Linked DNA regions of Drosophila melanogaster. The protein of the gene in region 2 interacts with the protein of the main gene of each other region in a pairwise test. Each region holds a gene or a part of one and is shown on either strand. Other genes may lie near its edges.

What was found.
Region 1: the proteins of CG16978 (region 2) and Tapdelta interact in a two-hybrid assay, tested with the Drosophila melanogaster proteins (one large-scale study listed by BioGRID).

Annotation. Positions count from the first base shown.
Region 1 is NT_033778.4:11,369,565-11,373,885, forward strand, and holds Tapdelta (Translocon-associated protein delta), read right to left. Parts: upstream 1,772-4,321; 5' UTR 1,449-1,771; coding exon 1,209-1,448; intron 1,150-1,208; coding exon 889-1,149; 3' UTR 736-888; downstream 1-735. Other genes in the region: CG13204 (uncharacterized protein), read left to right, coding at 1-672.
Region 2 is NT_033779.5:13,142,422-13,145,698, forward strand, and holds CG16978 (uncharacterized protein), read right to left. Parts: upstream 1,202-3,277; 5' UTR 1,177-1,201; coding exon 886-1,176; 3' UTR 793-885; downstream 1-792. Other genes in the region: CG9928 (uncharacterized protein), read right to left, coding at 124-444.

The DNA of each region.
Region 1 (4,321 bases), on a different chromosome or scaffold from region 2:
GGCAGCTGCCCGAGCTTACCCATGGGTAATCCCACTCCTCCGCCGCCGCCGCCAGCGCCACCAGCCTCCAAGGTGCGAAGGGTACAACCTTCGCCGCAAACCACGGCCATCAACCTAAGTTGCTCCGGAGGGAATTCCGTACAAACGCAGCAGCAGCAGTCAATGCAAATGCCACAAATTCAACAGCAACAACAGCCGTCGCCCGCCAAAACGCGTAAGATTTGCGATCCGCGTTTTCCGAGCGATTGGGACGTCTCTGCCGTGCTACAGGCCAACAGAGAACTTGACGCAAACACTCTTTTCTTCTTGAGTCTGGCGCGGCAGGTGCGAGCTATGCCCATGAAATTCCAGTCGCTCGCCAAGATGCGTTGCATGCGAATCGTCAGTGATTTGGAGCTAGAGCTGGAGAACTTTGATTGCAACGGTGGAGCGCCACCGCCGGATGATTCAGGCGGAGGAGGAGCTGGGAATCTCAAGTACTGCAGCATAGATACTCCGCCACCGCCGCCGCAGGACGGCTCCGTGGTCATACCCCCGCCGCCAGTCGGCCCCGAGGGCTCCACGGAGCACTTTGTGTATGTGATGTCGCCGTCGCGTGTGGAGAGCATGATAGACATCTCCTCCGACGAGGAGGCGACCATGAATGGAGCGCCCTCCACGGGCCAGGTTTAAGCGTATTCGTACAAGTTATCTCTAAATTAAAATTAAATTAATCTCAACTAGGTTCCTTCGGTTGGTCTTTCAATCAGTTTATTTTGGAGCGGCGGGTGATCCGATGCTTAGGTGTACAAAATGTGGAAAAATCTCCGGGACCCGGCAATTTGATGGTACATGACTTTAGTGCGAATGAATTTCATTCAAAATCTCGATGACGAAGGCATCCTCTACTTAGGACTGCACCTTGCCCTTGGTGGTGAAGGCGAAGTATGCGAATCCGCCGACCAAGAAGGCGGCCAAAAGCTCAGCCTTGATCCAGGGACCCTTGTAGGCACCCTTGGTGGGCACGGAAATGTCGAGCAGCGACTTCACCGATGAAACCTTGTCGCCATCCCGCTGGGCCTTGCGCACATTGGCATAGCCATCCTCGTCGAAGAGACGCACCTGAACATTGCCGCTGCTGCCCTGCTTGATATCCTCCACCCAGCTCACCTAGTGCAGAACAGAGATTAGCCTTTGCACAAAACTTGACGGGGCTACTACTGGCTCACCTGGTACTTGTTGTCGCCCACCTTGGCCACCGGCACCACCTTGCCGCAGGGGAACTCGGCGAACAGGCTGGCGGGAGCGGCTCCGCTGCACTGCAGCGTGAACTCGCCCACATGGGCCAGCTGGGTCAGAATCGTGGCATCCTGGGTGCTGAAAGAGCTCACGGTGGCCTTGCAGCTACCGTAGACGCCGGACGCACAAACGGCGGCAATCAGGCAAATGGCGAACAGTTGACGGGACATCTTGATCAAGTTATGAGGTGGTTTTTATTTAGTAATCAATGGAATAGGCGGAACTCTACGGCTATCCAACTCGGCGACCTGCGACTTTCTTTCTCTCTGGAAGCGAACGCCACGACAGCACCATACATACGTCACGTCACTTGACAGCTACGAAAATTGCCGAAGTCGTACCAGTTCGATGGTCACACTGGTCGTGACCAGGGATGGCAACGCTCAGTCGAGAATAGCTACAAAATAGCTAGTAGCCCGTGGTAAATTTTTCCGATTTTTTACTTGTTATATCTAAAAATACAGTTTTAGAAAGCGGTTTTTTGTAGTTTCCTAATGACATCTATATGTTAAGATTTCTCCGGGAATGTTTGTCGTTCGAATATGATAGCAATTAGTACGTATACGTAAATGTTATAAAATTCATATAAAATTTGTATATACAAGTATTAAAAATAAGTGCGTATACATAAAAAATATAAAAATATGGGATTCATTTTATTTGGAATAAAGTTATTACTAATGATGTCAGTCCTGTCAAAATAAATCTTTCCTAATTATAGGGGCATTGAGATATGTAGACTTAATTTCCTCCCATATCAATTCAATTTCTAGCGATTTCAATTTCAAATATATAATTTGAAAATATCGAATTTTAAATAAAAAACAATTATATTAAAGTTAAATATTAATAAATTAAATTAAATTTATAAATAAAAATATAATGACAAATAGAATTCTTCACCAACAGGTTAAATTTTTGTAGTCTTACTTTGATTAAAAGACTAAAATTCTTATTAAATTATATTTATACAAAATTGTAATGTTTTAAGGAAAAATTGCTCAGCTATGATCGAGTACCGAATGCAATCCATCACTTTGGAGGATTCTGCTTTAGATCGCTATTGCGCTGATATTAAAAACATCAAAGTGAACTTTGATCAAATTGGTGGCTTAATTTGTACTTAGGCAAATACCCAAAGTTCCTTGTCTAAAACGTCTTTGAGGGGATTCCTTTTGCAATACATTTACGTTGGGCTGACTTCATTTAAAATATGTATGTAAGTATCTATTTAATTTAAAGTCAATAGATAAAGTCCAGGCCGTTCCAGTCACAGTAATTTCGTACCGACTGCATTTCTAATTAAAATAAGTTTTCGTCTGACAGTTTTGCTATGGTACCGTTCTGTGATCGGTTACGACTAAGTCCAATATTTATGGCACTTCGATTGCAATTGATTTCGAATTGCAGCAGTGTCAGAGGAAACGGGAGTCCTGTCCAATCGTTGGGGGAGTCTTCAAAGTCGGGCCATAAGCACCGAGTATTGACTGGTGGCAGTGATTAATGCCCATCCAACTGGAATGGGGCTTTCAGCTTTGTTTTAAGTACATTTTATTGGCAATCGGAAAATCGGATACTATCGTATAAATACTTTGGCTAACAGGCATACGAATGTATGCGGATGTGACCTTGAAGTGGGCCTGATTTGGTTTTGCTTTTTTTGTTTACGGTTTTATGCCATTTTGTGTTTGTGTTTGCCGCCACCGTTCGAATCGGCTCCATTTTGCTATGTTCGTTACTTTCCTTTGATTGCCACCGCGCACGGAACTTTTCCACCGAACTTTGCATGTCTTTGATGAATTTGAAATTGTCACAAATGTGAAAGTTTTTCACTTGCCATCCCATCCGGTTGCCCATCCGCAGATACAGATACTCATACTCATACTAATACCGGCAACAACTGAATTTGCATCTAACATTTTGCTGACATTGAGCGACTTGTACGCATTTCTCCTTCCTCCTCCTCCCCTCTTCTCACCACTCTGCCAGCCTTTTTCCTGCTTCTTTTTTTTGGCTACTATTCATTCATTCATGGCCGGATTTGCATATTTGCCAAAAATGCCGTAATCCTTTCGATTAAGAGGCGTTCGGTGGGTGATTCGCAAATGAAAACAAAAGTTCGTGCGGGTTCATTGAGTCGCAGTCGAAAACTTGCCAGACCCACCGGAATTGCACGTGTCTTTGGGGGAGGAGTGGGTTGATCCGGGGTTGGCAGGTGGATCGACGGATGCATTGGGCAAAATAAAGTGCACTCTGACCGGAAACGAAATTGGTACTTAGATTGCAAACATAGAAGCAGGCGCGATTGTGTATAAGCCAAATTTTGGCGTTCTATATTCTACAATATTTTAATTTTGGGAGTTTTTCAACAACTCGCAAAAATAAATATTACAATAAACCTAAGTTTTTAAAAGTTTTTCATATAAAAAACGAACCAATTATTAACAGGATACATTTACTAATCGAGTATAATAGCTCATTTGTAAGGGACATTACCTTTTTTAATTTTTCCTAGATCACTCCAATTTCTTTCAGTGTGCTTCGGTGGATGGTTGTCTGACGTGTGGGTGTGAGCAGGAAATGGAACAAAGAACCGAACTGTAAGGAGAGCCTGAGCCAGCATAACAGGCGACTCCTTGCCAACGTTGCGATTTTGTTGATTGTTTGTTGGCAACATAAACGAACCTCCCCCCCCCACCCAAAAAAAAACCGATTCCGATTCCGATTCCGGTTCGGAGTCCGAAATTCTTCATTCACAAAACGCAGTCGGTGCAGGGCATTCGAGCCAAGTGGACGTGGAAGCCACCTCGATCTCGGCCAGACGGGGATCGCATTTGCAAAGTGGCTTTCGCTTTCGTGACGGATCACGGTTCACGGTTGGCGGCTCGTTGGTGCCTCGCTTGTGGGTTTCCATTTCAGACCGTCAGCTTTGTTGACAAAGTTATTGCCTCCGGCTTAATGACTTCGTAATTGATTTGCATTCGATGTGCCACATTGATTGGCAATTGAAACGTAAGGCACCCTTCTTGCAACTCCGGCCCAA
Region 2 (3,277 bases):
GATCAGTTCATAAAATAATAAATACGTTTGTTAAGTAATAAAATCTAAAGCATTTTATAATGCTTATTTCTTAATCTTTTAAAAATTCTTTTATTTAAATTGAGTATTTTAACATCGTAACATTTATCCTATGTGTATAAACTGGAATCCGCGAGCGTCTTCCTTTGAGTCTCCTGCGGATCTATCGGTATCGAATCCAGAATTCCTCACCGCATCGTTGCCCCAATTATTTCTATCATTGCCACTGTTATCCAACGATTCCAGTAGCTTCAGAGTCCTATCGTCATCAGAACTGTGAACACTATCGCTCCAGTCCAAGTTGCCACCTGAAGATCGTGTTCTTCCTCCTTCGCCACCGAGGTTTATATTCTGAAATATACCCGATGCACCGATCGCGGTATAGATTAATCCAAACAGCACCAGCAGTCGGAGAATGGATTGCATTTTTCTTTCGATTAGCTCTGGCTACAGTTGACTGAATGTCAGTCGGCTCTTGAGCTGGGCTTTTATAGCCTTGCCCTGGGTTATCAGCAGTTCTAAGTGGTTGGTTTAAAGGTGATATGTATACTTTTAGACAGAGGTGAGTGCGGGAAATTCCAGCTTAACAGCAACACAGCTTACCACAAGCTTAATTGATATACTAAACGAGCTATTAAATTCAATCTATGACTAGTATTTAATGCGTACTTAAAATCGAAATTGCGGAGTAGGCAACATTCATTATCAAAAAATGAAGATCTCTTGATTCTCTCTTGATTGATTTCATTTTAAAATTTCTAAAAACTTTCTTTTATTTCCCTTAATAATTATTATTGAAGAACTAGATTATTTACAGACAATAGGATAGCATGACTTAGCATTACAGCACTACTAAATAATTCCATATTAAGTAGCCGGTTCGGTGGTAATATCCATAAAATCCAAAGTCGTCTCATCGTCATCAAGACTTGGATAGTCAGTTGAGTTCTCATGAGCTGCATCGTTCTCCTGCCAGCGTCTGATCAGCTCGTCCATTGCATTCATGAACTCTTCGGCACTGTTGTATCCACTGCCAGATTCCTCCAAAGCATCATTGGTACCTTCCGGATCTTCAATAAGGTCGTGCGGATGGCCGGCAATTAGAGCAGCACAAATGATTCCGAATAGGAGAAGCAATGATATGATGCGGCTCATCATGCTGATCAATGCACCGCCGGCAACTGCATAGCCAGATGCAATTTCTTTCGTTTTTATATGGATCGTGTCGGTCAGTAATAAGTTCAATGGAATTCTGGAAAATCCAGTCTGGGCTAAGCCCAAGTGGCAAGCTGCTTCGATTTCCTCATTCATATTTATGCGTTGGGCGGTACTAGAGTCCCCTCTGAATCATCGCAGACCCAGCAAGAGCAAGCATTGCGCATACGACACGTTGCCACTTGCGGATCAACAGTCATGCAAATAAGTCTATGATTAATTCCAAATAATTGCTATGTCTGTTGAGAAAATTCTCGGCCATGCCAATCATCTGTCAGTTACTAGAGTTGTGTTAGTTAGCTGGGTAGTCAGAAAATGTACTCTAAATAAGGGATTATAAACTTAGCAAAGCGACTGTATTTCATCTTTCCTTGTAGGCCGATGTGAGTGCTGCCGGCAACCCTTAAATGACTTGGCTGCCAGCATCGAGCACTTTACTCCGCTTCGTTGCCTCAATCCTTCGTTGGCTCCTCCGGCACTTTATTCAATTTTCCAAAGCGCGCGCACTCAGCTGCCAGTACAACCTCACTTTGCCACCCCAAAAGACGGGAGCCCATCCACGAAAACCTGTGGTAAAAACATGCAATCTACTCACGAGGCTAATGCCCTTTTATGGCATTGGAGTGTGCCGCATCAGCAAAACGGTGCTGAATCGTTGCTGCTGTAGCTGCAGCATTCAACCATCTAACCACCATGCGAACAACACCATTAGATGGGCCACCAGACTCGATTCACGGGGGCTGCAGCTCATTATCCTCCGGGGAAGCAGACGCCCGCCCATTCACCGAATTGCTGGTGGACTTGTCTGCAAATATGTCGCTCATTTGCATCGCCATCATTGGAGTCTAAGACTGCGCCATTGAAATCAAAGTAAGCTGTTACACGGATCGTTTTTAGTCATTTCTAAAACGTTTCAGAAAATTCTTTATATAATATAAAAACTCTGCTGGCAACTGAAATAATAACCACAAATATGTTTTTAATTATTTTAATATCCTCAACTTCAATTCTATAATTAATGTATATTTTAAAAAATTTCAAACTTTTTCTGATGCTTTTGTATATTATGTCGACTTGCTAGCAAATGTCAGTCATTTAAAAATCGCCGCATACCAGCGGCGCAACAAATCAAAGTTGGTTTTGAGTTTTGTTTAGTGGTTTTTAAGCCGACATGAATACCCACTTCTAGGTGTATAGAACCTTAGCAAGTGCCATTAAAAAGATACAACTGAAATAGCCCAGGCACTCCGGCATAAAAGTACGACAGTCAGTCAAATTAACATTTCAGTCACACAATGACCTTCACCTAGAAGCCATCAAAGCGTACCCAAACGACGGCCCAGCCCTAGCCCCAAATCCCCTGGCTTCACCGGAGTCCAAAGCCAAAACCAACTTCAACGCAACGCGACCAAATAACATAAAAACCAAAGTCAATCAAAAAAAAGAGGAGGAAAATAAATATTTTTCAGCCAATGTCTAAATACCCTTTTCGAAGCTTCAATGATCAATATCATTGATAATACTGAAGTTGTAAAAATAACTCGATTTTAATTATGACCAAAAATGACATCTAATCGTTTAAATTTTCTTCATATATACCTTAAGCTTGTGGGTATATTTTTCAGTGTTACAAACCTCTTTCAAAAATCGAAGAACCCCCTGGAAAGGTAACCACAAATATATGAAAAACGAGACAAAGTCAAAGCTGGCTTTTGCTCAGTCGGTCGCGTAATTTTGTTTTCGTAGCCACTTGATTAGCACGCTCTGAGCCATGTTTAAACGTGGGCTGTTTAGCCAAACGGCAGCCGATACGCCCGACCTGGTCAAAAGCGTACCGTCCAATAGCAGCGATGGCAACAAAAAGAGCTCCAATATCGGCGAACAGAATTCAGCTAAAGACCGCACTAAAGACTTTGACGCAAAAAACGTGCGAGTACGTGCCGCTGATTAGTAAAACAAACAAATTAAATTGGTCTCTACTTTATGCCCGATTTTCTTCTATTTTTCGTCTTACGACTTTTGGCTAAGAGCTATACCAAAGAGC